4 linked regions of the Oryzias latipes genome follow. The protein of the gene in region 1 binds, or shares a complex with, the protein of each later gene. Links are inferred from orthologs where the notes say so. Each region holds a gene or a part of one and is shown on either strand. Other genes may lie near its edges.

Region 1 (8,027 bases):
GTGAGGCTGGTGCTGGTCCAGCGACAGACATGACAGCATGGTGGACTGCAAGGAGTCTGACAGAGAGCAGCACTCCAGCCACGCCAGAAGACCTGTGCCCTGTCCGTACGGAGGCAGGTCCAAACCGCACCACTCCTGTGGAGCAAAGACAGAAAAGCTGAGATTTTGATCAAATAATAACATCACACAAACACATTTAGGAGATCACCCCCCACTGTTTTCAGCTGTGACCTGACATAAAGTCCCATAGTTTTGACGCCTTCGGACAAACATCCAGCTCCAAAGACAAAACATGTTTTTTCATGGTTCACTTAAGGCCTTAAGCAGTGGACACACTTTTTCTACTGTTTACTAGCGCATGTCCGCCACCTACAATAGAGGCTTGGTGTAAAATGTTGAAGCAGTGCAAATATCGCTCAGGGCTTTTTCTTTCACAGCTCCAATCCGATATATCTATGAAAGACTTGGTGTCATAGTATTCCAGCCGACACAAACAACAATTATTCATTCCCCTCCATGATCAACTTTCAAACAGTTGCTACGTCCATGGCTTAAAGGGACGCCATCCATTCTTCACTACCAAATCCAAGTCCCTGATTGATCAAAGTTTGACACGGTTTCATTTTCAACGGCGTTCAATAACCTTGCACTTTGTACACAGAGCCTGAAAATGGTCGTACAAGTTTAAACGCGAGAGTTTTGAACACTGAAGCCAGAAGTGTGCCTTTCCATGCGTTTACATTGACTTTTTTTTGGAAGTGGTCATTTGAACGTGCACTGTTGAGGGCGGTCTGAATATATCTCGAGTCCCAACTGCCCTAATTCGTGGGCACGGGCTGTCTGCAGGTGAAAATGCTCAAACCTGTACGGGGCACACAGGTGGCCCACACAAAATATCCAGGTGGCAGACCGCTCTGTGAATCCAGAAAGAGAAAAAGTTCATGCACATTTTTCTACGGGCATGCTGCAGGCGACGGGTCGTAGTGAACACCGACAACACGTAAGGGTCAGTAAGGGTGAAGGAGTTGAGAAGCAGGCATGTTGTACAAATGAGTTTGAAGATGCAGCGGCGATGGATCAAACCCCCTATGGATGTACGTGTCTACAGCTTTGTTTATAAAAGAGTCTTGATTATGTTTTTTTTTATTTAAACAGCAAAACAGTCTTTTTTAGCAAGGATTCACTTGATGAAGGGATAACCCTTTTTAATCGAGACACCAACTTGTGTCGGTGGGTTTTTGGTTCTGTGTCCGTGTCCCACTTTAGGCCTTTGCCGTTCAATGGACTGGGACTTGGGCTGCAGGAGTTCTCACCTGCTCAGGCAGATCGCACACATCCAGCAGAGATGAGGGCACCTCGTTTTTAAAGTGCTGCCCCCACAACGGCTTCAGGTGGAACCGAACCGTCCAGTCCAACTCCTCCAGTTTGTTGTAGAGCCAGAAGAGGGCTCTGGACCAGCTACTGGGGGCGGCTGCCACTTCTGCACCCACCACTTGCCCCACTGTGGTCATCACAGACACCAGAAGCTCCTTGGTGTCCACAGAGCAGAGGCGGACGCCACCTTTTGGCGGTTCCTCCCAAAACCTGGCAGAAAGCAGACGAATTACAGGAGAACTCCAAGGAAGACTCAACGAAATCTTATCCCAACAAACACCTGAGGTTTTGGTCGTGGATCTGAGCGAGAACAAAAAGGAGGGGAAAAGGAGAACAGTCCATCAGCCAGTGAGAGCTGGAGGCTCCTGGCTGCACATCCAAGGACAAAGCTGTGTGAAGAAGCTGCAGACTCAACTCTGCATCCACAGAGGAGGAACCTGAGCAGATGTGGAGAACGGATGAAGAACATGTGACGTATTATGTAAAATGTTGAATTCTGATAAATCAAAGTGTACAAAAATAAAACGACTTAGTCATTAGAGGCTATAACAGATGAGGAGCTCATGAACGTTGCACCACTTCTAACAGTTCAAACTGATGATTCTGACACCAAATTTCAGAATAAAAGATTCTTAAGAGTCTTCTTCAAATGTCAGGAACATTGTAAAGGATCCTCACCTACAGATGAAAGGTTAGGGAGGACGAAGGTGTTTATAACCTCCTGAGGTGACAGGAAGCTTTGTTCCTTTCCCTCGTCCACGTTTGGACCCATCAGCAGACCGAGGAATTTGGCAAACTGTTCCTTCTCGTTGGCTGACAGGGACTTGTCCTTGACCGTCTGGTGTAGGCACCTGCAGAGCAGACTAGAGGTCCCGTCTTTAGCCGTGTTCTCCTCTCCGCTCCTCCTTCCATCTCCATCTCCTCCTCTCTGACCGCTGAGTCCAGGCAGATGCTGCAGGATCTTTGCCATCATCGAAAATGCTCCTTTATTGAAAACAGCTGAGTGGCAGCAGGACCGTAAGGCGCCTTCTGGGTTCTGAAAAGCCACTCTGGCTACGAGTGAGACGGCCGTGGTCAGGTTCCCTTGAGGAACAGCTGAGGACGCTCCACTTCCTGCTTGGATGATGCAGTTGAAGGCCATGTTGAGCTCCTGCTCAAACCCTCCAGCCACCTCAGGAGGAACGGGGAATTCGAAGAAGCCCTTCCTAGACAATCTTAACATGGACACCAAGGCTTTGTTCATGTCTTCTAAGGAAAGGCTGGAGAAGATATCTGCTATGATTTTCATCAGCTTTCTGCACTGGCTGACGTCTGCATTCTCCATGCGTAGTTTGTTCATTAGAGTAGAGGAGAGGCCGATCACGGCGTCATGCTGACGGAAGGAAGCTTGGCTCCTCTCCAGGCAATCCATCCAGCCTTCATCACAGTGCGTCCAGGGCGGCTCTCTGGCAAACAAGGCAGCGAAGCTCTCGTGGTCTTCCAGGCGGTGAGTGATGATGGTGGAGAGCACCTGAGCATGCACCTCAGGGCTGCTCTCTGTGACAGGAAGAACCAGAGACTTCAGCACAGCCACGAGCAGGTTCTTCTCTGTCGCTGCTGTGGGAGCTTCTTCCAGAGCAGTGGAGACTCTCTGGACACTTTGCTCCAGCTGGAAAGCAGAGTAGGAGGAGCGAGAGCCGTCCTGGACGTCCAAGAGTCCTCGGTCTTTCCAAGACTGACTAAGTTCTGCTATGACCCTCAGAGCTTCACCCAGATCCATCCTCCTGACTTTGAACTGAGACGGGGAAATCGAAGCCCGTAAATGTCTCTGAGCTTCTTCAACAAGTTCAGGTTGAAGTTTTTCATTCTTTCCTTTAGTACTGATGGCTTTACACAGGATGTCCATCTTCTCCTGAGCTGATAGAACAACTTCTCGGTCTATCAGAAATGATGTAAAAAGAGCATCAAGGGACATGGAGAGAGACTGGAAGCACAGGTCTAATGAGGAGACGTGATCTGCCATGTCTTTGAGGGCATTGAGGAGAATGTGGAAAACATCAGCCTCTGCTGAGTCTTGTGTCTCCAGCTTTAACCTCTTGGCAGCCTGAGGAGACAAACTAGAAGACATGGAGGTGAGACGAGCAACCTGCTTGGCAAACATCATCTCCATGCTCTCGTCGTTTCTGAGCTTGGCTTGCTCTTGGCCTTTCCACAGCTCCCGCCACATCTCTAGAAAGAAATGAACATCCTCTTCGCTTGTAGGCTCGCTCTTCACATGCTCTACCAGCCTCTTCAGCTCCAAGCAGATCAAATCTTCAGGAAGATGAAGGAGAAAACCTGCGTAAACATGTGAAGCAGCAGCGTTCTTCACCAACTCCAACAGGACAACATGGTTAACTTCAGGGAGGCTCTGCTGGAAGGAAAAAAAGGGGTTCTCCCTCCACGCTCTCTCAACATCCTCCTCAGCGCTCAAGAGCTTCAGCCACACAGCACAGACCACCTTCTTCGTCCAGGTCGAGCTGTGATGACCGTCAGCTTCCTCCAGTTCACAGACTTCCTGCAGAGCCTGTAGGATCGGGCGTCCCGCCGCGATCCAGTCGGATTTGTTCACGCAGGATAGAAATGAGGGGCGACACAGTTTGTCTGCCAGCAGGAAAGCCCCCTGCAGAACCGCAGAGCCTGAAATCACATGACATAATCAGAGCCCTGAAGTGCCAATCACATCATCATATCAATGTAAAGACATCTTAAAGATAACAACAACAAAAGCAATAAAATAACAAGAAAACGTTACATTTGATAAATCTAAACAAAATTAAAGCGGGGGGTGGGGTGGGGTGTCAAGTTTTCATTCAAATATGCAGTAAGAAACAAGAATTGCAAAAACAATTTTGTTTTTGCATTCCAGGACTGCTGTGTGATGTTTTAAAACAGTAATTTGTGGATGTGATTTGAACTTCAGGGCCACCGTATCCACAGATAAAAACACCAAAGCTTCTTCTCAACTTTCAGATATGATCTCCAATAAATAACTCAGTTTTCATGGACAGAGCCATATAGTTTTTATTGTGTTTAATGTGTGAGTGTTTGTGTGCGTTCGTCTTTATGTCAGGATCAGTGTAGATCTTGTTGTTATTCACCTTTTGCCAAATCCCTTCAGGGGATCCATATGTCATTCATTTTACCACACCAAACTCAGTTTCCCACAATTCAAAGCGGTTCACCGCGTGTGTAAATCGGTATGAATGCGTCGTGTGTTGGAAAAACAATTTAAATTAAAAAACATTGCTTTTCTTTATTAAATAATATTTTCTTTTGTAAGAATTTATTTTAACTTAAAGTCAGTGACTTAACTGGTCTACAGAGAGAGTAAAAATAAAAGCTATTTTACCTTTGTCCATTATCACCGTGATAATTGTTGCGTGCAGGTAAATACCAGTGTAATCCGTTTACCTGGAAACTCTCTAAACGCGCCGTTACGTTCACGGTTTCCGAAGTTTAAAGTTAGATTTCTGAAACAACATAATCCAACTAAAAACATCCACAGCAGAACTGCGCAGCCGCAAACACGCTTCCGCCATGCGACGCATATACCGGATGTTTGTTCACAGCGACGCACCCGGATAAATTCGGTACTGCAGTTTTAACGTTTTTCTTCGGAGCGAGATTTAAATATTTTACATCAGATTTAAACGTCATTTCATTTGTTATTGTGTTTATGAATATATATAAAAATGTTTTTTTTTTGTTATGGTTTTAATCTTGTAGGTCATGTGACGCGAGCTAAAGGCAAATCGTTTTTTTTCTGCAGAAGTGAAAATGAAAGTACTTTTTAGATCCTGGCTGCTGGTAGAAACAAGGTGAACCAAGAAATTCAATTGAATAATCAAAATGGGAGTATTTCAGAAAGTTGTTATTTACTTTTATGTGATTGGAGGTAAGTTATTTTAAAGTATGTTTGCAGCTGTTCTATCAGTTAGTTCATGAAAGGAACTAAATTTAAATGAAGGGTGTGTTTAATGTTAGTTTTTCTGTGTTCTCAGTTGTGAGGAGCGTTCAGCAGATACCATGGCTGTCATGTCAGTTCACTGACGAACATGTGTCCAACAACAGTGAAGGACACATTGAGACACAGCTCATTCCCAGAGAGGCTATGGTTCAGTTTGGTCTAAAAGGAGACGCTCCTGTCAATCCCCACGCCATCACCTTCCTGATCACTGGTGAGCTTCTGTCCAAGACACGAATCGGGGCAGGAAAGAATTACATTCATGACTTTTTATGTTGCTTTAGTTTCAAAACTGGACCTGCAGCGGTCCATTGAAGGGGTGGAGGTAGAGGAGTTGGAGTGTGAGGTCCGACGGTACAGCACAGAGGGCATCCATGTCCGCTGGCCCGCCCTGGGGGCAGAGGGGTACAACCGCTGGTACACCTGCATCCTCAGACACAGAAAGGACAAGTTCAGCGTCACTGCTTTCCTCAGACATCCGTCTGACCAACCTCCTCCAGGACAGCAGGACTACCGCAGCTGGCCGCCCATCGCCGACCGAGAGGTTCTTACCACCACAGGTAGGTGTCCCCTTCATCTGACGCTGCTTCTGCATGTCAGAACGAAGGCCTGTAAGAGGGTTCATCCTATTTGTGTCCATAGTCGCCATGTTGCTGAAAACAGAGACTCCATCTGTGAAAGTCAGACTACGCTCGCAGCCCAAACTCCACTGTCAGTTCAGCATCGACCACCGAGGCCCAAACGTCACCGTGGAGTGGCACTGGCAGTCCCGCGGAGAGAGAAGGATGCTCTTCCGCTACAACAGCCGCTCCGGGGAGATTCATGGCTCTGGAGTTGGGAAGAAGGCCCTGGCTGGGGGAGATGCCTCCTACACTCTCCCCTTCACCAAGATGAGCAGCGAAGGAAGCTACATTTGTTCTTTGACTGTGAACCCGCTTTTCGCCAACATGGAGCTCAACCTGCACGTCGAGGGTGAGGAGATGATCTAAAACCTGTAATCTGTCCTCTTCTTTTACCATCAGCGGTCGCACTGCTACAGTGTTGGTGATCCAGCTGAAAACATCTGTTCCTCTTCTTCAGCCTCTTAAGGCTAGAAGAAAACAGTGTTTGAGTTTATTTCTGGGATTTGTGTCACATCTGACTTTTGTTTTGTTTTGTTTTGTTTTACTGTTTTTTATGTGGGAAGTAAAAAAAAAAAAACACAAATGCTTCCAAATGTGACCTTTTCAGAAAAGGTCTGGAGTTGCTGTTATTGCATCATTTGCTGAGGGTTCTTATCTGTACTGAGTGTTTTGTTGCTGCTGGAAAAAGAAAAGCTTTTATTTTGAAAGAAAGTCTCTTAAACTTTCAACAATTCAAATTAAATTAACCCTTATTTAAAATTAGGAGTTGTATACGTGTGACCTGAGATGGGTAAAAACAAAAGAAACGTGTTCCCACGAAATCATTAATTTGTTCTGGGCCTGTGCAATAAATCGCAAATTTAGCGTTATCGCAATATCAAGCTGTGCAATATGCTTATCGCAAAAGACAGCAATAAGCGGTTACCTTAAATTTGCAAAAACAATCTTATGGCAGTTTGAACTATTTAGCGAATCAAATAAATCTATTTATGCATTTGACCAATCGGATGGAGCTCTTTCATGTTAGATATTTGCCTCCTTATGTAGACGAGGGTCATTTGGAGTATAATTTAAATTATGTTGACTCTTTCTTCCATTAAACTGTTGCAGTGTAATGGAAATTATGTTTTTGGTCGTTTTGCTATTTTCTTTCATGTTTCTCAAGTTATAGCGTCATCGCAATATTGATCGCTAATATCGCGAGTTTTACTCATATCATGCAGAAAAATAAAAACAAGAATCAAACTAGGGGATCTATATATTATTGTCTCGATGAAAATAAGAAAAATATCGAATATCGAAGGCCCGAGCTGACTTCTTCCCCCTACCACAGCGGCTCTCCGTCTGCCGGTGTAGGTACCATAAGCATTCGGCCTGCAACAACCGTTCGGGGTCCTTCGACTAGTGCTGACGTCACATTATGGGATTGGCTGTCCGTTGACGTATCGGATAATTAAAACTACAATAGAAGAAGATATTATGCGGTCCATTGTAAACAAACAGAGCTCTGACATGGAGTGAGATTATCTTCTAAATGTTCTTTTATTATTGTTAAGATTCTTATTAAGTGCATTTGCAGCCGAACGGACTGCGGTCCGAAGCCTTCTCCGGACCGAACACTATAACAAATCATATTCCCTGCCTGCGAACACGAAGCTACGAGACTCCAGTTGCTCCAATCAGAGATACGGTTCTCTAGCGTGGAACAGCAGGTTCATTCTAACAGCCACAGATCTTTTTACAAAGTGGGTTGTGGCAAAATCTCTCCATAAACACTGCAAAGAATAATGTCAGACACAACTTATGAGGGAAAATAACTTTGGGTTACAAAAGGAAATGTGAAATGAAAATATGTAGAGCCCGAGCAGATCTCCGCGCTATGTAGTTTGTCCAAGTGGGGATACCGTAGTGTGATGTTATCCTCAGTCGAAAGGACCCCGAACGGTTATTGCAGGCCGAACGGTTATGGTACCTACACCGGCCAGCCAGCTGCCCAGATTCCGGTATGACAAGCAAAAGAGCTCTGGCCGTGGAGCTCGTTTGCT
Region 2 (7,949 bases), on another chromosome or scaffold:
GCAGTTCCAAAATCGAGCGCAATAGAAACTTCCAAAAAGTCTGCGAAAAACCAGTGTGCATCGATGCTCACTAGACCGGCGAATATAGACCACAATGCATTGCGTCAGAACAGTTTTTGCCAAAAAATGATTTTTTTTTTAAATAAACCAGGTTTTATCTTCAGAACACAGTGAACACATAACTAATCGTTGCAAAACGCTCCTATTGATTAGATTTTAACTTTGTGAAATGGATGATGTCACATCCGCAGTGGTTTCTGAACTATATAGCTTTCCAGTAGTTAAGGATTAGGATGGGAATTCGGACAGTCATAGATCCAAAGAAAACAGAAAACGTATCAATAATTGTCGAGTATCTTAAGTAGAGTCTAGCCCTGCGACAGAATGGTAACCTCTCCAGTGCGCCCCCTGCCTTTGCCCACAAGTGGGCGGGATAGGCTCCAGCAGCCCCGTGACCCAGAAAGGGACAAAAACGGAAGAAAAAGATGAAAGTAGAGTCTGGACCTGGACTAGATTCAGCGGTTTAGACTGTTTTTCCTGCTGGGTTCTTCTCCAGCTCTCAGAGCTGGCACATTCCCATGATGCATTGCAGTGAGAGGGTGAGTGCCAGTCACCTGGAAGAACACACTTCCACAGGCCGTAGGTCTTGCCCACCGCCGTCTGCCACAGCCGCAGAGTGCCGTCCTCCGAGCCGCTGGCGTACAGCTCGCCGTCGGGGCTGAAGCGAACGCAGTGGACCGGCCCAAAGTGGCCTTTGTACGACTCTGCGGACAGAACAGAGGCTCAGGCGTCTGCATGACCACGAGCAGCTCATGTGGAGAAGCTCCGCCTCTCACCCAGCTCCTCCTGCGTGCCGTAGTCAAACTTGTAGAGCTTGAAGTCTTCTCCTCCCGCCACAAAGAAGTCCTTCTCTGGATGGAGGGAGGCCGAGTTGATTGGAGCCGGAGCCTCCGCAGTCTTGATCAGCTCCAGGCTGTTCCAGGTCAGTAAAGCAGAGTTCCCACCATTATTACCACATTAAAACACGTGTGTGTGTGTGCGTGTGTGTGTGTGTGTGAGAGCTGGCTCGCCTCAGAGCGTTGTAGAAGGCGATGGTCTTTCCATAAGTGATCACCAGGATCTCTCCATCAGCCATGTACTCCATGCTGCTCACAGATGTGTTGAACGTGAGGGTCTTCACCTCCTCCATGGAGGTCCTGTCCCAAAGCCTGAACACAGACACACACGCGATTACACAAACGCACATAGGTGACAAATCTGTTTCACAATCTAGGGCATGGGCAGAAGCCAGAGGGGGCAAAGATGGGAGCGATTTATACGCACAACGCGGCACGAATGGTGGGCTTTTACTGTTGTGCTTGGACAGAAACTGCCACCTTTGGGGATTTCGAGGAGGAAGACTCTCCCTAAAGAGACGTTTCCAGCCGGAGTGATCGCTAAGGTCAATGGAAAGGGCCTGCGCCCAAATCTGGAGCGCCTTTTGTATGTGTTAAACACAGAAAGAGCCCCCATAACTGATATGGCGCCCTATAAGGTCGTGAAAATACGGTATGAACACATAAAATCACTTTAAATCATTTGCCCATTGAGGCCGATTTATATAAAGTACAGACCAAAAGTTTGGACACACCTTGTTATTCACATGAATGGGTCTGGTCTGTATATATAAGAAACAATGACATCTTTGAACTCAAGATATTCCTATTTATAAAAAAATACTGAGGAGGACCACATGAAGTGCATAACGACACATTGCAGCTAGAAAACCAAAGAAAATGATATTTTTAAAATGAAGAGAATTAGGGGATGTCAGAATTCACTACTTTAAGTTCTTTCACTGTGTCTCCCGCTGCTATAAAGCCCCTCCCACTGGTTCCAGACGCAGCGGCGGCGTTCTCCTCCCGCCGTCCGGGGCGCTGACTGATTGCTGCTCAGCGACGCTTTTCTACAGTTCTTCAGAATAAATAAACCTGACCTCTCATCGTCTGTGTCCTCCGTGATGAGGTCGAGTCAAACTTTTGAGGGAAGCTCCGCCCACACACGACGGGGCTTCAGGCTAACACGCTTTTGGACAGACGGCACGCAACTATGACGCTTGTTAAACAAAGACAGGATACACGTGTTTGACATGTAAAATGTGCTCCGTGTGGAAGGAAAAAACCATGAGATTTGCACCACTTCCACATTTCCACCAAGGCTGTGTCCAAATTCCCACTCTGACCCCCAAATACTAATCAACTCTATAGTGCAGCACTATGTAGGTCCCTGGATTTAAGAAGCAATTTTGAAACCACGCTCACTACTTTTTTTCTTTTTAACGGCAAATAAGACGTCATCAATTTCACAAAGTGAAAATTTAATCAATCTGAGCGTTTTGCGACGATTATTAATGTCGTCTGAAGATAAAAACATTGATGGTCTATATTCACCAATCTAGTGAGAATCGATGCACACTGCTTTTTCGCAGAGACTTCTGGGAAATTTCTAGTGCACTGGATTTTGGAATTGTAGATTCAGACATAACTACAAAATGTCAAAAGCACTATATACTGAGAACGGAAGGAATTCGGACTCTCCTAGCATCCGGGAGGGACCGTCCAGGGCGCCGGCAGCGCCGGCAGGACCCACGTTCAGAGAAGAACTGACCGGATGGTTTTGTCGTCGGCTGCAGAGAGGATTTGCTTGTCGTCGTTGCACCACAGAGCCTTCTTGATGGCTGCGCCGTGACCTGCGATCTCCTGTGGGGCTGATGAACACAGGGAGGGGGGAGGGGGGGTCACATGATGCCGTGTTTAGCAGAAGTACCTTCAAACTGCATCTCACCTGCGTCGGTGTTGCTGAGGTCGAAAATGCGCAGCAGCTTGTCGTTTCCCGCCGTCAGAAGGTGGTTGCTGTCCTAACAGACACAAGCACAGATTTACTGTCCTCCATCTGGCTTGATGAATGTTCACCAGGAGCTTTATCTGTCTCATGTTTGTAAAATCAAAGCAGCAGGAACACGGAGCACTTTGTGACTACAATCATTGTATAGATGGTGTCCCAGCGTTAAGCACTTCCTCTTTACGGTTCAGTTTGCTGTGATGTTTGATGAGCTAAAGTTGTTACGTTTGGCCCACTATTACAGTTTGGTGCCACTCCAATCATCTTGTGATTTATTTTCAAAGTGTTCTAATGATGATGATGATGCGGTTTTTGGTCATTTTCCAGGACATAGTTTCTGCAGGGCGGCAGGACTTCATCAGAAATGAGCCTCTTGGTTGTGGTGTGGAGTAAGCCGTCCAGTCCTGATCCAGATTCCAGCTCAGACCAGGAACACAAAGACGTTCATGGATCTATTTGTCTGCAGGTGGATGATCAGAATGGAGCAGAGCAGGAAGCTTTAGACTCCCCAGCCTATTTCCTACGTCACATATATGACATTTTTGTGTCTGCTCCTGATTTGAAAAATTAAACATCAGAAATGTTATTTTGAGCTTAATTTTCTGTCTATATGTTCTCCGTCGTGAGAAAAATTACCACCATTTTAACAGGACGGGGTCTTTAACCCACATCGGTTCTACCAAAACCCGCATACGCAGACACGGACAAAGAAAGCAGAGACGCCTGGCGCCACACTGACCTGAGTGAAGTTCACAGACTTGACGATGTGTTTGTGCGCCAGAGACAGGACCTCGTCTCCGCTGACCGAGTCCCACACCTTCCTGCAGAAAACAGACACGGTCAGAAGCGTGTGACAGGGGAACATAGAGGGACGGTCAGTGTTGGGGGGCAACGGATTACAAAGCAGCAACATGACCCCACCCTTACATCGACGTGTTCTCCCTACGATGACAAAGGTGGAAAGATTTCATGTAATCCATGGACACCAGTGAAGATCACAAATCATTGAAGAAAAAAGGTTCAGAGCACTGTCTAGTGGGTCTAGATGACCCAACTTCCAGGGCTAACGTGCCTCCAAGGCACACTGGAAAATCAAGCTAGTTTTCAGGGTAGAACAAAGTCAGGGTGCCTGAAAATAAAAAGCAACTCTACTGTCAGGAGTTTCTTTTCTACTGGAAAGACGTTTAGACTCCCAGAAAAAAAATAAGCCAACTTCTTAAAAAAAAATCCACAGAAACTAGTTATCTTGGAGAAAAAGAAACCGCTTCTTTCCTAGATAAAACCCTGATTCCAGGGGAGGGGGGGAAAACAAAAGCTTTTTTCCTAGGTAAGAAGCCAGTGAAATAAAAAGTTTCCTGGAAAAAAAGGCTCATTTTCTGGGGGAAATTCTTCATTTCCAGCAGGTAGAACAGTGCATTTCCTGGAGGAAAGTAGTTTGTTTCCTACTATTAAAACAACTTTCCTGGAGGAAAAGGCTGCTTTCCCAGTAGGAAAGAAGCGTGTTTTTCCTTGGGAAAACAGGCAGTTTCCCAAATCTACTCACGCTGTGAAGTCGGCGGCGGCGGTGGCGGCTTTGGTGGCGTCCATGTTCAGAGTGGCCCCCCAAACAGCACCTTTGTGACCAAGAAACGTTCCGATCCAGTCTCCTGTGTCTCCTTGGCGCAACATGGGCTTGCCATCTTTAACAGAAGGGATTGGATCAGAACCAGAGGCGGGTAGTTACATTTACTCAGTTACTTTTTTTTTGCCAAAGTAACTGTTGGGCTTGAACCAAGTCCTGAGTTTTGTTACATAATCATTAATTACTAGCTTTTCCTAGAGTTTGATGAGGAATCCCTGAGGAGCCTTACTTGATACTCTCGTTACTTTCATGGATTACAGTTACCAGTAAGACCCACAACTTCCCTACAGACAGAGTTCTGCTCAGAAATCAGACCATTCATCAGAACCGGATCCGCCAGGTCTGTTCTACGAGTTTTCTAGGATCGTTTTAAGTCAGAACCGACACACGACCAGATCGGGTTCTGCCTGCACAGACAGAGGGGCTCGCTAACGGCCGAGCCACCGGAACCCCGCGCCGGCTAACGGCCTGCTGGAGCTCACCCTTGCAGGCGCTGATGAGGAAGTATCCGAAAGGCGTGATTCCGCTGAAAGCCAGGTCCACCACGGGTCGGGTGTGACCCGAACAGGTGAGGGGGGTCTGCCTCATGGCCATGGTTGGTGGTCTTCAGCCGCCGCCGGAACCGTCGCGCTCGCGGAAGGAGGCGGCGAACAAACGGGGCCCGCTAACGAACCGGGAGCGGAGGAGCGGCTGTCGGGTAACGGGGAGCAGTCGAGCGGGTGCGGGTGTGAGGAGCGGGGGTCGGTGTCCTTCAGGGTTTGGCCCCCCCAGAGAAGAAACGGCCTCGCGCTAATAGCTACAACATTGCAACTAACTAGCAACGTGCGTAACTGCAGTTACGATGACGACACAAAACCGCGAGACACGACACACTTCCGGGGAATTTCACAATAAAATCCGTCTGTCAGGTGTTTTCGTTTTTTTTTTATGAAAGTAACGGAGAAAAACGTTGTTTTTTGTTTTTTTTATTGAATTTTATAAAGAAAATGTTACAATAGATGGTTCATTTCTAAGAATTACTCAATTTTCTAACAGGGAAGCTCTTTTTTATTAGCAGGACATTACGTACATTAAACTAACTAACTAACTAACTAACTAACTAACTAACTAACTAACTAACTAACTAACTAACTAACTAACTAACTAACTAACTAACTAACTAACTAACTAACTAACTAACTAACTAACTAAATAATAATAATAATAAAAAAAAACTAATTCAGTTGTTTTAAATGTCAAATAATTATATGGAATTATTAAGCACCCAGAGACTCAAACGTTTAAGAGTCTGTTATATAATGTAGGGATTTTATATATCTGCATTAATGAATATAGTTTTACTGCTGCAAACCAGTACCTATACTGTAATTTATTGATATTGTTTACAGGAAAAGTTTCGCTTACAGTTGTTCTCAATTGCTAAAACACTAAACCCTATTATTGTCTGAACCAAATGCCCAGTTGCCTGAACCCACTGATTGCATCGAACGTTCCTTTGGCCGAACCATAAGTACTTCTCACCTGTTTAGACACGACTTGGCAACACATTTTCATTGTGATACACCCGTGCTGCATAAAGGTGTGCACAGGTGACAAAAGTCAAACACAAAGAAAGCACAGGTGTCCCCACTTGAACACAACAACTCAAAACTGATCACACTTGTGGGAGAACATATAAAGTAAGCCAGTTCAGAGAGCACTGGTTTGTGAGGCCCTACAATGGACAGAAATCTGAGAGGAAGAGTTCATGGTGGTTGAGGTGGTCAGCAAAGACAAAGAACAGTAACATCTCATGAAATCAGAGCTACTGGGATCGACAAAGTGCTTGTCCATGGGATTAGCATGAGGGAGGCTGGACAACAGGTACAACCAAACGCCAGTAGATTCACTGTGTCCACCATGATCCGAAGATTTAGGGTAAAGAACAGGTAAAATGCCTTTTATTGGCATTATAAGTAAATGTTGCCAGAAATTACTGTACCACTGAACTAATGCACTGTAATATTGTAATATTGTAGTGGAGGGTTGGTATAACAGTTTGTAGGCCTAGAATACCGTGTATTCTTTTTGTAACTACACAAGTCACAAACGCTCGTTTGTTTTTACAAGTGCTATGTGTAAATGCTCAAGATTTTTTTTTCTATTTTTGTACAAGTTTTCTGCAACATGCATTGAGCCTACAGTCAACAATAAACTTTTATTTCTCCAGCTTCATGTCCTGAGCATTGTGTTTTCTATTTTTCCATGTAGTGTTTAGTGATAGTTCAATGTTGCTTTTAATTTTGACTGACTCGGGGCACGATTTCACAGCAAAGTTTAATTTTGAGCAGAGATTGAACTGTTTTGAGGTGAAAATTTTGGTTTTGCAAAAAGAGTTTGACGTTTTGTGACTGTGGCTTGAAAATTTGGTTTTGTGTTCAGTTTAGAGAAAAGGAGAGCAGCTTTCAAGAAAAGTGACTTAACAATCTAGAAAAACTAATAGAAGAAAAATGAAAATGAATAGAAATATTAGAATAACATGTATTGGGAATGAGCCCTAAAACGTGTTTGTGATGGTGATGGACAGACTGACAGATGAGGTTATACAGGAATCCCCATTGGATTAAGATGTTTGCAGATGATATTGTGATTTTTAGTGCGAGCAGAAAACAGGTGGAGGAGATGCTCAAGAGGTGGAGGTTTGCCCTGGAAAGGAGGGGAATTAAGGTTAGCAGCAGCAAGGTGTGTGTGAATGAGAGGGACCCAAGTGGATGAGTGAGGTTACAGGGAGAAGAGATATAGAAGGTGGAGGATTTAAGTATATCTAGGGTCAACAGTTTAGAGAGTAACGCCATGTTTTGGGGCCCAGAGTCAGCAGCACTGAGGAAAAGTCAGGAGTCAGAGCTGGAGGTAGCAGAGATGAAGATGCTGAGGTTCTCTTTGGGAGTGATGGATAGGATCAACACAGTAATCTATGATTCATGTGCTGGCTGCTTGTGACTTTGCAGAGCAGAAATGCAGTTTCGTTTATTTAGCAACAGTTAAAGTGTTTGTTTTGAGGGTTGTGGGTGTAATTTCGGATTAAAAATGGATTTCATATTATTTATTTTATCCATGGAATCCTCGCAGACCAGAAGATGAGGGATGGAGGGGTTGGGAGACGGCAGTGGGACCTGCAGGGGGCGCACTATTTTCTCTGGCAGTAGCCCGCGAGCCACCACTGCCTTGCTCCGCGGCAGTGGGCACAGATGGCTTCCCGGTGCCGGTGAGTAAGCAGAAAAGCTGTGGGGGGGCCGGACCATGACAGAGTGCACCCGCGGCAGAGGCGCGCGGCCTCTGCGGTGACGGCGCGCGCAGCATCGCTTCATGGTTTTTCGCTGAGATCATCTCATCCTCCGCGGGGCTGCTGCTGTCGGCCGCAGGTGGTGCTCCTCCGCCGGGGCTCGGTGGGGTAGGGGTGAGGCTGCGG
Region 3 (8,107 bases), on another chromosome or scaffold:
CTTTTAATACCACTTGTGTATTTTCAAATCATTTTGTAGCAGTTTGTGGACTAAGAACAATTCACACTTTAAATAAGCTGTAAAATAAATCACCAGGAAATCTAAATAACTTACCAACTGAGGGACTAGTTCATGCTCTTCAAACCAGCTAATAAGAACGTCCAGCACCATCAGAGCCGTCGACTGAACACAAAAGAACATCCGTCATCACTGTTTCTCTTTAAGCAACTGAATCTCCACAAATTCACAAAGGAGAGAGACATTCACCCTTATGGACAGAATGTCAAACATGCTTATAGATAGGGAGGAGGGTGAGTTGTATGTGGGAATTGTTAGCATGGAGAAACCCCACCCACAATTCCTGTCATCCATGTGTACACACTTAAAGTTTGCCCATATTGCATGGATGAAAAATGGTCATATATGAATATACGTGGAAAAAATGAAAAAAAGTTGTGGTCTTTACACAAAATTTTCACAGATGCATTACCAAAAACCACGGAAGAAGTACGAATGAACCACGCAAAAAATGCATAAAATCTATAGACAACAAACTGTGCGTGATTATTGCGCTGTTTATATCCAATTCATTCGTGATTTGTGTGTCAATTATGTAATTTTAAAGTGATATGTGCGCCGTATACGTGATTGAAAAGTTATACATCGGTGGCACGTGTGTAAAAAGTCTGTTAGATATATGTGGAACGGTCGTTGAAAGACACAAATTTGCATATGCAGATTTACATAATAATTGTGCATAAACTACGTAGAACACGCATGTACTGCGGAATTTCTTAACGGACCAAAATATGTAAATAGCTCAAAACTGAATTCACATAAAGACCAAAATTTCATATGAAGAAAATGCAAATGTAAGTAGTGGCTATGTGACATACAAGGCCATCATCAGAAAATACCACAAGAACATGTTAAAAACCCAATTTTCATCTGAGTGGGTCTTTACTTCACATTTCACATCCACAAATTGAGATTTTGCCAAATCCCTGCTCCTTTATGTTCTACATTTTTATAAAGCTTATTTACTCAAAAGAAGATTGAAATTACTTTTTTATCATCTGTTCAGTTAAAAAACAATTACCTGGTTTAGTCTGCATACGATGGTTAAGAATGGAGGAAACCCAACCTGAAAAAAAATGAAAACAAACACATCAGTAAAATCTAGTTTTCACGTTGTCCCTCAATGTAACATGCCTATTAAAGTGCCTTATTTCTGGGGCTGGAGGGGGGCAGTGGAGGCTTCGTTAGTTAGGGGGACCTGGTTGGGCGCCTGGAAGTGGGCAGGTGGGGGTACTGCATGGTCTTGGGAGAGTTTGGTCGGTGCGGTTGAGGGGGTCTGGCTTGGCTTGGGGAGTGGTCTTTTCAGGGGGGGTTAGGACAGGAGGAGGAGGTGCAGGCCCAGGTGCAGGAGACCCTGGGCCTGCACCTCTGCACTCTTCTGGTCCTGGGACGGGGTGGGGCAACCCTCTTGGGGTTTGCAGTTGCTCTGGGTGACACCTGCCATGGCTGCAGGATCTGGGGGGGGGGGGGGGGGGGGGGGGGGGGGGGGGGGCTGGTAGACTGGTTGGCTCTGTCCTCTGGGAAGGGGGTCCTCCATCAGGATGGGACTACAGAGGGTTGGGGTCAGCAATGAGACAATCATGGAGAGCCCTGGCTGGTCAAACTGCCTCGGTCAAGTTGGTGTGCTTTCTTGGCTCCTCTCTCTTTATGTATGCATAAGTATTTTTGTGTGAGCTGTAGTTGTATCGTGTATGTGTTGACATATGGAATGTGAAGATTTCACACAGGTATGTTTGTAACATACCTGTTAGCTCCTTTTGACTAATGCCTTAATCTGACAGTAATAATGATAAACCTCCAGCAACTTTTTGCTTTATGATTCTGAATCTACCCCCACTCTACTTCTTTGATCATGCTCCAACTTCCTTTAACCCCCCCCCCCTTTTCCCTTTTCAAAACAGGTATACAAACATAATCAATATAAATAAAGTTTACCCTCAAATACAGAAGAGTTTAAATAAATATACCCCTTGTGTGTCAGAAGATTCATGACCCCCTATTGTAACAGTAAAATCTCTCAAACACAAGAGGCCTTCAGCTCTGATCTGTTTGCTCAGCTGTTGGACAGAACAAGTTAACAAAAAAGAAAAAAAGTCTTATTTGAAACTTTTTGTTTCAAAACTTTGGCGTTTAAAAATTCTAACAACAGTTTAGTTGACAACCTTGCTATAGTCCAGTTCTGCCTCTGGTTTTGCATCTGTGGGGCAGGCTGATGCGCCCAAGTAGATCCTCTCTCCTAAACAAAACTTCTTCCAGCCCTCCTCATCTGTAAGGTTTGGCTGTAAAAGATCACACTTAAATATTATGCAAATGAGCACCTTTGACCTTTGCTAACATTGCAGCGGGATTTGACATCTTACCATGCGTACATTATTATCCAGAGTCTGGCTGCTCCAATGTTTTCTATTCTTGGTGATGCTCTAGTAAATTAAAAAATTAGACATTATAAGCAGAAATATAAGTGAGATATAAAAGCAACACACTGTTCTTTTAGTTTTTCTTACCCGTCTCACGTCAGAAAAATTACTGACTTGTTGTTGTTGCCAGTGAAGGCTGGGGGAGAAACCTACTGGGGGAGCGTGGCACCCAGCTACCTGAGACAGAAAATATGGTTTTCCAGATTATCATGTCTCTTGGCTGCAGAGTCAACTATACATGACCTCACCACACAGACAAAGCCTTAACAAATAAAGATTTGACCAAATAAATAGATTTTCACTTACAGATACATGGACTGTTTGCTTCTTCTTTAGTTTCTTAGGGTCAATTTGAGCAACCACCACCTCTGGACACATGGACGCTTCCAACCTACATCACAAGGAGGTGAGGGGTCACTGGGAAACACAGCTAATATCTTCTCTTCAATTTCTAAAACGAGTCATTCACAGATGTTGAAATCAATAATCTTTTTATTAGAAGAAGTTGAATTTCTTGCTGCTAAATCTTTTTGGTATTCAACCATGGGTGATTTAAATTGGGAAAAGACTAATACTTCTGTTCATAAATACTGTATTAATATTAAAATAAAATAGGTTTTATTTTGCTTTCTACCCAGTTAAAGATACACTAAGAAGATTTAAAATAAACAGAACAATTTTGTTTTTTGCCAATCAAGTAAGGAGACAATTTTCATTTATTTATTCTTTCTATGTACACCAAGCAATTTTGGTCGGATCTGCGTGAATTTATAACCACAAAATTTAATATAACTCTCTGAATTCTTTTTTTAATGTCATATTATATTTTTAATTACATGGTTTGCCCAAAAAGGTAAGTTTTGTTACTGAACTGTTCATTATTTTTGGGACATTCCTCATTCATACATATAAGCAGTCCATATTGAAGGCGACAAGAACATTTGATATTTTAAAGAAACGGCATATTATATTTTATTTACTTATATTCTATGTTCAAAAATAATTGGACTGGACTGATTATTAAAGTACAGGTGGCACGTGTTGTGCAACCTGTGTAGTGTTTTCTTTTACCTATATTATTCTATTCAGTTAATACAATAAGTATTGATAATAAAGTTTGTTGAAAAGAAACAACAGAAACACTTAAATATACTAAGTGGAGAGCTAATTCCACGGTTCGATACATAGACTGTAAATAGGAACTTTGGTTTTATACAATTTTTTTTATACCAATGCTTTGCTATTCTAAAGCATTTTAATTATGAAAACACTGGCTTTCCACTTTAATGAGAACAGAAGGGAGAACTTACTGGACCTGTCGCAAGTACTCCTGGGGGTTCCTCGGTGGACCGCTGAGGTCTACGTGCTCGGTGTCTTGTCCTAACTCCACCGGAAGCAGCCTTGGCATTAACTCCTCAACATCCGACTTCATTTTCCGCTAATAATGTAAAACTCTTAAGCGAAATCAGGACATTAAAACGAAGACTAGGCAGATGCTAGTATTTACTGTTGTCCAACAAGCGCCATTTTGTTTTTCAAACTAGATTTGATGACGCCAATTTTGTGCGCGAGGCGAGATTTGTTTCCATAGTGACGTGACAGCGCCTGAAACTTTGGCAGCGACAAGGAACGAAGTCCACGAGCATTTTATGTTGCGCATTTAAACACGTTTATTATACCTCAATTCAACCGCAGAAGCTGTTTAATAAATAAAAAAATTTCAAATCAAGTTGGTGAATGAAAAAAATAAACTTTTGACATTAGAGCTAAATTGTTTTGTTCTGCAATCAGGTTACGAGCAACGTTGTTAATTATTAGCTTCATGCTAGCGTTATATCTTATCTCCATTCTTTCGTTTACCACTAGTGAGGTTTCATGAGAGAAACAGCACAGAGTCAATGTCCACTTTCCTGAACAGCAGGTCAAAGGGATTTCTTCTCAAATATGGGACTTTTTCTATGATACACTCCAGCTAAAGCACCCAAAATGGATGTTTCCCTGCTACATAAATTCTGTTGGATTGTGGGTCTAACGTTTGTGATTTTGCCTCTTATAAATCCAGGAATGTTATCCGACTACAAGATCTGTGGAGATTCTGAGTGTGAAAGTAAGTCCAAACACTTGTGTCAAAATAGTTTGAAGTTCCTAAAAAATACTGTTATATTTTATGCATGAATTTAGCTTAGTTGGTTTATTAAAGACATTTTAATCATTTTAATGCAACTGATCACTTGTGTTTGTGTGTGTAGGCCTAATGAGCAGGGTTCAGGCCATAAGGGACCACAAGAGTAACGACTGCCGTTTTCTAAGCTTCAGACGTGGAGATATCATTTTTGTCTACCACAAACTTACAGGAAAGAGGGAGGATCTGTGGGCAGGCAGTGTATGTCCAATTTTCATCTCTTTTATATCTCTGTCGCCTCCTTATCATGAAACCTTAATGTAAATTGTCCCTTATCCAAGGTCTTTGGTTGAACAAAACAATATTCCTTATTATACAAAAAGCCTTAGTGTTTATTTGGGATGCTGACATCTTTGACTTTCATTTAACCGTTGGATGGAAGAGTTTTATTTTGAATGTTTAAATATAGTCATGTTTAAACTAATTTGAAAATTCTGTTAGAATTTAATATTTTGATGCCTGTTCTTGTACTCACGCAATGACAATAATATTGAATCTAATCTAATTTTTGTGTTTTTGACCTGTTAAATATGAATTAGATTTTGATTTCTTTAGTTTCAGAGCATCTTATCAAAAGCTTGTTGCTTTTCAGCATTTAAGTTTCACATATCTCAGAAAAGTAAGATACCAGAACTAAGCAATTTTTTAAAATATAAACATTCCCAGAACTTCTTACTTTTATATTCTTGGATCTAAAAATCAAAAGGACCAACATTTGTTTTAATCTCCAAAGAAAAAAATGACACAGCCTCATTGTGGTTTTTCAGTGTCTTTTGCCATTAAAGTAGAATTAATGGATAAAAAAAAGTCTTAAAACTTTAAAAGATAAAAATAAAAGCAATAATTCCAATCTTAACCCAATGGAATATTCAACATCAAAATAACTGTCTCCTTTTTTTATCACTTTATTTTTTTCTTTTATATTCACTTGTAAAGGTTGTTTGTGTTTGTTGAGGGAAATTCACTAAAGTGTTTTTTAAAAATTCAGATTGACAAACAGTTCGGCTACTTTCCAAAGGATGCAGTACAAGAGGAGCAAGTTTTTGCAACCATGGAGACAGCAGTGGAAACACAGGTAATTTAAATTATAATCATCTTAAAATACTTAAAGCAGATTTATTTTTTTAAACTACACTTGAAGTAATAAATATATTCTTTGTACATTTGTACCAAGTTCTGATATGTAAGATGTTGTTTTCATTTTTCCTGCAGAAATCAGATTTCTTTTGTATCGATGAGTTTGGCTACCCCATTGATTCGGATGATGACAATAATCAGGAAACCCCAAAACAGGAGTCCAATATCAATGTTATCACTAAATATTTGCATGAAACAAATCCTAAAGGCCCCCTGTCCTTTGATGATCTCTCAGCCGAATCATCAGTTCCAGCACAGCAAATAGACGTCCCAAAGACATTTGGGGATGAAGCAGATCCACCTGAAGAAGTGCATGAGATTCATGCAGCCTCGAGCAAACAAGGTGGGTCTGCCTCCTCTTCCTGGCTGAGTTCCTCAGTGACAGGATGGTTTGGTGTGGAGCAACTGGACGAACTGCCAAAAGGAGAGGGTGAAGATGAGAAGACAGAAAACAAGGATGAAATTTCACTCACCTCCTCTGTTAAAGGATGGCTGGGTTTTGAGAGAAACAGTGAACAAGACAATGCAGATGAAAGTGTGACAATCCCAGACCAAACAACTGATACCATAGCCTCGACTGTGACTGGTTGGTTCAGTTTTGGGGGCAAGAAAAGATCAGACGATGAAAAAAATAAGCACGATGGAGAAGAAACAGATGAAGGGGTTGAACCAGCTGAGAAATACAGAGGCAGACGGATGTCTTTGGACCTGGAAGGAAGTCAGCTACATGAAGAAGAGAAAACTGAGATGGGAACGCTAGGCTGGTTGGGAAGCAAGCTCTCAAGTGGGATGGGATATGGATTGACTAATCAGAATGCAGGTGAAGAAAATAAGGAAAAGGAAAAACAAGAATATCGTTTTTGGCCAAATACAGGAATTGGGGACATGTTGGGCTTTGGAAAGGAAAATGAGAAAGTAGATCAAGATATAAAAAGAGAGAAAGAGCAGGGTAATGTCTTAGAAGAACCACTGGAATCGCATGTAGAGACAAAAGTACTGGCGGCTCCACAGATGGATGTAGCAAAGACTGAGACCAGCAAATCACCTCAAGAGGAAGGTGTTCAAAAGGATCCATATACCCAATCTCCAGAGGATGTGAAAGTTGACAGCACTGATACTGACAATTACAAAGTAGATAATGAAGATGCATTAGACAGAAATGAGATCAATCTTCAAAGGAATGAAGATAAACTCCAGGTTAATGAGCTTAATGAAAAGTTCCAGATGAATGCAGAAATGTCATCTTTGAACAGCAGGATTTCTCTAAGAGAGAATAAAGACAAAAATGACTCAGAAGAAATCCAAGTGAAAGAAAGTAGATCTGAAGAAATGGTCAACAAGGGCAAGGAGATCTTTAAATCGGTGAAAAATTGGGAGCAAGATACTACCAATGATCTTGCAGATGAAGAAGTTACTGCTACAGATAATAATCCATTTTTCTTAAAATCATCTTGCAGGCAATCAGGGAAGGAAGAGAGTTTTAACGAATTATTGTCAAACTCCTTAGGAAGATCTGAAGGTAAATATGCACAACAGAATGAGAAAAAGGAATTTGTCAAAGTCACAACTAAAGAATACAGCCCAGCAGAATCCACAGATATAGAAAGCAAAAGTAGTGACGATAAAAAGGTCGAAGGTAAAGATTTCACTCAAAAAGAGACAGCAATAGAGGAAAACCGAGTCAGTGGTGATACAGAGGCAGCAACTGAACTCATCCAAGATGATGTCAGTTTTACACCTGATGATAAACTAAATTTAACAGCTATATATAGCGATACCTCAGACACAGGGAGCCATCAGGACAAGTCTCAAATTGAAGAAGAAGCAAAATCAGTATGGAGTAGTCGTAAGGAATCTGGATCATCCATTTCCGCTCAAAATGATGAAAGTCTGTCTGAATATCCCTCAAAGGAAAATGATGGGAAAGTGTCTTCCAGTGATAGAACATCAACAATATACAAGGAACCAGCTGTTAATATTATTAACAATGAAGAAATGACACATCCCCATGAGCAAGTGGAAAAAGAGACTTTAGGCTTTGGGGAAGATGTTTTGAGTCAGAGTGACTTAAAATCAACCCCAAGACCGGAAACAGAAACAAAGAAAATTGAGATGTTAAGGGGAGGGATAGAAACAAACGAGAAAGGAAACCATTCAAAAAAGGAGGAGAAGCAGCAGGAACTAAATGGTGACAACGAAGAAATGGATGAAATGAAGGATAAACAACAAACAGACACAGAGGGGAAGAAAAAGGAAGACAACATGGAGTTGGAGGTGAGAGGGAAAAAAATGG
Region 4 (7,016 bases), on another chromosome or scaffold:
GGCGAGTTTCTGCCGTTTCAGGCTGAGACTGGCGGCGAGTTTCTGCCGTTTCAGGCTGAGACTGGCGGCAAGTTTCTGCCGTTACAGGCTGAGAATGGCGGCGAGTTTCTGCCGTTTCAGGCTGAGACTGGCGGCGAGTTTCTGCCGTTTCAGGCTGAGACTGGCGGCGAGTTTCTGCCGTTTCAGGCTGAGAATGGCGGCGAGTTTCTGCCGTTTCAGGCTGAGACTGGCGGCGAGTTTCTGCCGTTACAGGCTGAGAATGGCGGCGAGTTTCTGCCGTTTCAGGCTGAGACTGGCGGCGAGTTTCTGCTGTTTTAGGCTGAGACTGGCGGCGAGTTTCTGCCGTTTCAGGCTGAGACTGGCGGCGAGTTTCTGCCGTTTCAGGCTGAGAATGGCGGCGAGTTTCAGGCTGAGACTGGCGGCGAGTTTCTGCCGTTTCAGGCTGAGAATGGCGGCGAGTTTCTGCCGTTTCAGGCTGAGAATGGCGGCGAGTTTCTGCCGTTTCAGGCTGAGACTGGCGGCGAGTTTCTGCCGTTTCAGGCTGAGACTGGCGGCGAGTTTCTGCCGTTTCAGGCTGAGAATGGCGGCGAGTTTCAGGCTGAGACTGGCGGCGAGTTTCTGCCGTTTCAGGCTGAGACTGGCGGCGAGTTTCTGCCGTTTCAGGCTGAGACTGGCGGCGAGTTTCTGCCGTTTCAGGCTGAGAATGGCGGCGAGTTTCTGCCGTTTCAGGCTGAGAATGGCGGCGAGTTTCTGCCGTTTCAGGCTGAGACTGGCGGCGAGTTTCTGCCGTTTCAGGCTGAGACTGGCGGCGAGTTTCTGCCGTTTCAGGCTGAGACTGGCGGCGAGTTTCTGCCGTTTCAGGCTGAGACTGGCGGCGAGTTTCTGCCGTTACAGGCTGAGAATGGCGGCGAGTTTCTGCCGTTTCAGGCTGAGAATGGCGGCGAGTTTCTGCCGTTTCAGGCTGAGACTGGCGGCGAGTTTCTGCCGTTTCAGGCTGAGAATGGCGGCGAGTTTCTGCCGTTTCAGGCTGAGACTGGCGGCGAGTTTCTGCCGTTTCAGGCTGAGACTGGCGGCGAGTTTCTGCCGTTACAGGCTGAGAATGGCGGCGAGTTTCTGCCGTTTCAGGCTGAGAATGGCGGCGAGTTTCAGGCTGAGACTGGCGGCGAGTTTCTGCCGTTTCAGGCTGAGAATGGCAGCGAGTTTCTGCCGTTTCAGGCTGAGACTGGCGGCGAGTTTCTGCCGTTTCAGGCTGAGACTGGCGGCGAGTTTCTGCCGTTTCAGGCTGAGACTGGCGGCAAGTTTCTGCCGTTACAGGCTGAGAATGGCGGCGAGTTTCTGCCGTTTCAGGCTGAGAATGGCGGCGAGTTTCAGGCTGAGACTGGCGGCGAGTTTCTGCCGTTTCAGGCTGAGAATGGCGGCGAGTTTCTGCCGTTTCAGGCTGAGACTGGCGGCGAGTTTCTGCCGTTTCAGGCTGAGACTGGCGGCGAGTTTCTGCCGTTTCAGGCTGAGAATGGCGGCGAGTTTCTGCCGTTTCAGGCTGAGACTGGCGGCGAGTTTCTGCCGTTTCAGGCTGAGACTGGCGGCGAGTTTCTGCCGTTTCAGGCTGAGACTGGCGGCGAGTTTCTGCCGTTTCAGGCTGAGACTGGCGGCGAGTTTCTGCCGTTTCAGGCTGAGACTGGCGGCGAGTTTCTGCCGTTTCAGGCTGAGACTGGCGGCGAGTTTCTGCCGTTTCAGGCTGAGACTGGCGGCGAGTTTCTGCCGTTTCAGGCTGAGACTGGCGGCGAGTTTCTGCCGTTTCAGGCTGAGACTGGCGGCGAGTTTCTGCCGTTTCAGGCTGAGACTGGCGGCGAGTTTCTGCCGTTTCAGGCTGAGACTGGCGGCGAGTTTCTGCCGTTACAGGCTGAGAATGGCGGCGAGTTTCTGCCGTTTCAGGCTGAGACTGGCGGCGAGTTTCTGCCGTTTCAGGCTGAGACTGGCGGCGAGTTTCTGCCGTTTCAGGCTGAGAATGGCGGCGAGTTTCTGCCGTTTCAGGCTGAGACTGGCGGCGAGTTTCTGCCGTTTCAGGCTGAGACTGGCGGCGAGTTTCTGCTGTTTTAGGCTGAGACTGGCGGCGAGTTTCTGCCGTTTCAGGCTGAGACTGGCGGCGAGTTTCTGCCGTTTCAGGCTGAGAATGGCGGCGAGTTTCAGGCTGAGACTGGCGGCGAGTTTCTGCCGTTTCAGGCTGAGACTGGCGGCGAGTTTCTGCCGTTTCAGGCTGAGAATGGCGGCGAGTTTCTGCCGTTTCAGGCTGAGAATGGCGGCGAGTTTCTGCCGTTTCAGGCTGAGACTGGCGGCGAGTTTCTGCCGTTTCAGGCTGAGACTGGCGGCGAGTTTCTGCCGTTTCAGGCTGAGAATGGCGGCGAGTTTCAGGCTGAGACTGGCGGCGAGTTTCTGCCGTTTCAGGCTGAGACTGGCGGCGAGTTTCTGCCGTTTCAGGCTGAGACTGGCGGCGAGTTTCTGCCGTTTCAGGCTGAGAATGGCGGCGAGTTTCAGGCTGAGACTGGCGGCGAGTTTCTGCCGTTTCAGGCTGAGACTGGCGGCGAGTTTCTGCCGTTTCAGGCTGAGAATGGCGGCGAGTTTCTGCCGTTTCAGGCTGAGAATGCCGGCGAGTTTCTGCCGTTTCAGGCTGAGAATGGCGGCGAGTTTCTGCCGTTTGTCCTGAAAGCAGCTGAGCTGCACCGACCCTGAAACTGATCTTTATCTCCAACAGCACAAGCTGTCTCCACACACCGACCTCAGCTGGAAGCCGGATGGGAAAGTCGTTGCCATCGGTAACGAGGATGGGTGAGTTGTTTTCACACGTGAACCCTTAGAAACGCCAACCAGACTTTTTGATCTAATGGTTAAAACATCTGAAGCAGAGATGAGGAGCGGTGGAGCTTTGAGGTTTTCTGTCAGGTTGCATCACAAAGTAAACATGTCAAAAGTTGCTTGTTTTCCTGGAAACTGGCCTCTTTCACCGGTCTTTTCATCTCTTTCATCAGGTGCATTGATGTTTTCCAAGCCCCCAACCTGAAGCAACTGTGCAGCGTCCAGCAGCACCACAAGATCATCAACTCGCTGCGGTGGCATCACCAGCACGGCTCCGCCTCAGAGCTGCACACGCTCCTGGCCTCGGGCTCCAGCAACGCCATCGTCTACGTGCACGACCTCCGCTCCGTGATAGGTGGGGACCTTACGTTCACAACAATAGTCACATGACAACACAAGCGTCCAATAAACGGCTCCAACCTGCTCTGAATCCTCCCAGTTACCCCACTGTCAGAGAGGATATGACCGTTTCTGGGATCCCTTCAGAATTCTCATCTTCTTCACCTTCATCCCATTTTGTTGTTTGGTTTCCTTTGGATCAGTTTATCAAACATCAACTGTCGTTCAGGACGAATACTTGCAGTTTGGATGTAGATTTAATATTTCCAGTTTTGAAACTTAGGTCTACAACTTTACACGAAGACGGATGGATGGATGGATAAATGAATCGTCAGATGGATGAATAGGTGGATAGCTGGATGGTTGGATGGATAGATGGCAGTAATTCCTTATGGAACCCACATCTTTACGAGTCTTCCTGGTCTTCAGAGAACCCTCCAGAGACTCCTGTGGTCCTGACGGAGCCGTACCGGCGGTTGTGCGGTCACACAGCCAAGATCACCGGGATGGCGTGGAGTCCACATCACAGCGCTCGGCTGGTCACGGCCTCGTATGACGGCACGGCACAGGTCTGCTGCTCCACACAGGTGAAGCCAAAATGCTGTTCTGAGGTCTGATGGGCGGGTCTCGTTTCAGGTGTGGGACGTCCTGGAGGAGGCGCCCATCTCTAACTACCGGGGTCACGTGGGGTATCTGCTGAGCGTGGACTGGTCCCCCGTTGATCCAGACGTGATCTGGACCGGAGGAAAAGACTTCACCGTGCAGGAGTGGAAGGTCTCCCAACAGGAGTTCACAAAGCCACCTAAAGGTGACGATGAGGCTCTGAGGGGGGATCCAGCCAGGTCCTCCTGCTCACGACTGACATGTTCTCCTCCCAGGGAGGAAGATGAGCACGCTGCAGGAGAAGAAGAAGTCCGGCTCCAAGCAGAAGAAGAAGAGCAAGAGCGCGCCGGGGCTCGGAGGAGATGTGGTGCCAAAGATGAACGGCGACGGAGAGAAGGATCTGTCTGAGGAGGAGGAGGAGGAGGTCGGCTCCACGAGCAGCATGCATCCTCCAGGAGGTGAATGCGTCTGAGGCCTGAAGGATTCATGTCAAATCGCATTTTTCTAATCATTTTTTCCTTTTTTTAGCATCTTTGGAGAAGAAATCCTCATCTGTCTCCAGAAGTAAAGAGAAGCCACCAGGTTTGTGTCTGATTCTTGTTCAAACGGCTTTTTCTTTGGGTTCTGAACATGTCCCTTGCTGGCTCCGCAGCAGATTTGAGCCTCCTGAAGAAGAAGAAGCCTCGCTCCATGCTGCCCCTCAGCACGTCCATGGACCACCGGCCCAGGGAGGAGCTGCTGCAGGACTGCGTCACTCTGGCCGCCGTCAGACACGCCTCAGGTGAGAGAAAACTGGCAGATGGTCTCCAAATGCAAAATAAAAATGTCAGAAAACTTAAACGAGCTTAAGTCTTCAGTTCGACCCTTTTTTCACAAAGCAGGGCTGATTGTGTGTTTTCAGCGCCACCTGCTGGCTGCAGCCCGGGACATGGCGACCATGTCCACCTGGGCCTGTTTGCAGACCGGCGGGCTCTGCGCCTCATGCTGGAGGCAGAAGGTTTGTTGGTTCTCCCTTCCTGGCTTTGGGCGTTTCAGCGTAACGTTCAACTTCCTGTCGACCCTCAGAGGAAGGTCACGTGCAGGCGGGGCACTTCGACTCGGTGGTGTACCTGCGGCTGTGGAGCGGAGACCTGCAGGGGGCGCTGCAGCTGGCAACGGAGAAAGGAGAGCTGAACGACCACCTGCTGTCCGTCGCTGCGATGGGTAAAGAGCGGGAAGATGCCGGTTGAAGTGTCTGTGCAGACGTCAGGAAGCCAGTTTGATGCAAAAAAAGAGAAGGTTTTGGCTGCTGCTGGTCTAAGAGCACTAAAAAACATTTCTCACAGGAAATTCTCTAGATTTTTATTGCATCGATAAAAGCTGACGAGGGGACAGGAAGTGACCTCATGATGTGTTGGTTCTTCACCTCCTCCAGCTGGTTTTGAGGCCTGGAGCCGCGCGGTGGAGGCCTACGTCAGGCAGCTGTGTCTGCAGGAGCAGTACCTGAAGGCGGCGTCCCACCTGCTGTCCATCAACAGAGTCTACGAGGCCGTGGACCTGCTGCGATCACACAAGCTCTTCAGGTCTGAGCCGCTCGGCCGTTTGACTGAAGGAGTTTGTGGAGCAGCTCCATCAACCAGAGCTTGTCGTTCGTCAGGGAGGCCATCGCTCTGGCGAAAGCGCGGCTGGCGCCGGACGAGCCGGTCCTGAAGGAGCTGTACGGCGGCTGGGCTGCGGTGTTGGAGAAGGACGGCCATCTGTCCGCAGCAGCTAAATGGTCTGAAGGGAAGAGTCCGGCCTCACAGACCAGCGCTCTTCCTCCGCCTGATCCGTCTGACCTGCTTCTTTCAGTCACCTCGCCGCCGGCTCCGGTTTCGACGCCGCCAAAGTCATCGCCAAGAAGAATGACGTCGCGTCTTTGAGGACGGCAGCCGGCGTGGCCAGGATCTCAGGGGAGGGGGCTCTGGCTCAGACGCTGGCGCTGCGATGCGCCAAAGATCTGGCGGCTGCTCAGGATTGGCTGACGGCGCAGGAGGTCCTGAGCGGTCAGGACGACCTTCTGGTCAGCAGCTCACACTCTCCTGATCCCCCCTGGAAAGGAACAGGAAGCCTCTCACCGAGATGTTTCACCTTCTGCAGGTCCACAGGCTGCATCTCTGCGTGGCGGAGCTGCTGACTGTGGAGCTGCGTGACGCCGGGGTCATCCCTGCAGCCTCCTGCAGCTCCACCCACACATGGGCGGAGCCAAGAAAACATCCCGCCAGCATCCAGGACCGAGTCAGAGACGTGTGGGAGGAGGAGTTTGGCATTTCTGCAAACGCACCAGAAGACGGCAGCATGGAGGCTCTCCTGCAGGAGCTGAGGTCCGTGGAGAGTCCGGCCCCCACCGCCCCCCTGAAACAGGTACTGACCTCCAAACGGCCACGGCGGCACAACGTCATCAGTCCAACGCAGGAAACTGTCTGTGCTTTCTCCTCAGGTCCTGCTGCAGGCCTCGCTCCATCTGACCCGCGGCGTGCTGAGCTGGATCCTGAACGACGACGCGCAGCTGCTGAAGGAGCTGTGGTGGGCGGCGGCCTGGATCAGAGACGCCGGACTCTTCTGCGCCTCCGCAGAGCTGTGCAGGCGGCTGTTCCCCGAAGGTCCAACACGCCTCCCTCTGAAGCCGTCACACGTGTTCAGACTCCGCTTCAGACTTCTGACCCCATAACGTCTCAAAACAACAAATCGCATTTTCTCTGAAGCCGTTTCTGTACGAGATCAAAAAAGTAGAACACAAACAGAAGAAACACGTGAAAAACTGATGAAGCGTTTCACAGAACCGTTGAGACGAGCTCAGTTTGGATTTTATTTCTGTGTTTCTAAAAATGGATTTAAAACAACATTCCTGTTTTCTGTCGTCTAGGTGATGTTGGTCTGTTCTCCAGGAAACGTCCAAAGACCCTGAAGGGGACCGAGGCTGAGGCGAGCGCTGCGCTCAGCAGCCTGCAGGCCTTGGTCCGCTATCACCGCCTGTACGAGTGCTGGTGGAGGAGCGCCGCGGAGCAGGTGGAGGTCCAAAAGGGAGCAGCGGGCGAAGGCCAGGAGGACTTTGAAGTGCTGCTGTCCGAGCCGCACGCCGCCTGTCAGAGCCTGCAGAGGTCGGTGCAGGAGATCCGGGAGCGGCTGGCGGCCATGGTGGCGCAGCACAGCCGAGCGCAGGAAGACCCGCTCCCTGTGGGGAACCAGAACTCTGCAGAGCACAG

What was found.
Region 2: gemin4 (region 1) and strap share a complex: the UniProt entries of both Homo sapiens proteins name them as parts of the SMN-Sm complex. The link is inferred for Oryzias latipes from reciprocal best matches to the Homo sapiens genes GEMIN4 and STRAP.
Region 3: gemin4 (region 1) and gemin2 share a complex: the UniProt entries of both Homo sapiens proteins name them as parts of the SMN-Sm complex. The link is inferred for Oryzias latipes from reciprocal best matches to the Homo sapiens genes GEMIN4 and GEMIN2.
Region 4: gemin4 (region 1) and gemin5 share a complex: the UniProt entries of both Homo sapiens proteins name them as parts of the SMN-Sm complex. The link is inferred for Oryzias latipes from reciprocal best matches to the Homo sapiens genes GEMIN4 and GEMIN5.

Annotation. Positions count from the first base shown.
Region 1 is NC_019871.2:19,885,317-19,893,343, reverse strand, and holds the start of gemin4 (gem-associated protein 4), read right to left. Parts: upstream 4,966-8,027; 5' UTR 4,895-4,965; coding exon 4,807-4,894; exon of another isoform or gene 4,755-4,806; coding exon of another isoform or gene 4,745-4,754; intron 4,033-4,744; coding exon 2,053-4,032; intron 1,812-2,052; coding exon 1,655-1,811; intron 1,585-1,654; coding exon 1,314-1,584; intron 136-1,313; coding exon 1-135. Other genes in the region: tapasin-related protein, read left to right, coding at 5,245-5,290, 5,397-5,573, 5,644-5,919, 6,002-6,331. UniProt on the Homo sapiens protein: The SMN complex catalyzes the assembly of small nuclear ribonucleoproteins (snRNPs), the building blocks of the spliceosome, and thereby plays an important role in the splicing of cellular pre-mRNAs.
Region 2 is NC_019881.2:4,534,814-4,542,762, reverse strand, and holds the start of strap (serine-threonine kinase receptor-associated protein), read right to left. Parts: upstream 5,374-7,949; 5' UTR 5,096-5,373; coding exon 4,984-5,095; intron 4,560-4,983; coding exon 4,424-4,559; intron 3,702-4,423; coding exon 3,620-3,701; intron 2,897-3,619; coding exon 2,824-2,896; intron 2,747-2,823; coding exon 2,647-2,746; intron 1,209-2,646; coding exon 1,071-1,208; intron 974-1,070; coding exon 837-973; intron 765-836; coding exon 615-764; intron 1-614. UniProt on the Homo sapiens protein: The SMN complex catalyzes the assembly of small nuclear ribonucleoproteins (snRNPs), the building blocks of the spliceosome, and thereby plays an important role in the splicing of cellular pre-mRNAs.
Region 3 is NC_019880.2:19,642,176-19,650,282, forward strand, and holds the start of gemin2 (gem-associated protein 2), read right to left. Parts: upstream 4,060-8,107; 5' UTR 3,928-4,059; coding exon 3,806-3,927; intron 2,902-3,805; exon of another isoform or gene 2,887-2,901; coding exon 2,802-2,886; intron 2,673-2,801; coding exon 2,583-2,672; intron 2,499-2,582; coding exon 2,439-2,498; intron 2,358-2,438; coding exon 2,241-2,357; intron 1,145-2,240; coding exon 1,100-1,144; intron 184-1,099; coding exon 115-183; intron 1-114. Other genes in the region: transport and Golgi organization protein 1 homolog, read left to right, coding at 4,482-4,602, 4,745-4,878, 5,666-5,752, 5,890-8,107. UniProt on the Homo sapiens protein: The SMN complex catalyzes the assembly of small nuclear ribonucleoproteins (snRNPs), the building blocks of the spliceosome, and thereby plays an important role in the splicing of cellular pre-mRNAs.
Region 4 is NC_019872.2:29,390,434-29,397,449, reverse strand, and holds part of gemin5 (gem-associated protein 5), read left to right. Parts: intron 1-2,749; coding exon 2,750-2,823; intron 2,824-3,023; coding exon 3,024-3,205; intron 3,206-3,618; coding exon 3,619-3,758; intron 3,759-3,825; coding exon 3,826-3,997; intron 3,998-4,067; coding exon 4,068-4,250; intron 4,251-4,320; coding exon 4,321-4,374; intron 4,375-4,444; coding exon 4,445-4,573; intron 4,574-4,693; coding exon 4,694-4,789; intron 4,790-4,857; coding exon 4,858-4,995; intron 4,996-5,206; coding exon 5,207-5,354; intron 5,355-5,428; coding exon 5,429-5,548; intron 5,549-5,622; coding exon 5,623-5,833; intron 5,834-5,910; coding exon 5,911-6,174; intron 6,175-6,250; coding exon 6,251-6,413; intron 6,414-6,676; coding exon 6,677-7,016. UniProt on the Homo sapiens protein: The SMN complex catalyzes the assembly of small nuclear ribonucleoproteins (snRNPs), the building blocks of the spliceosome, and thereby plays an important role in the splicing of cellular pre-mRNAs.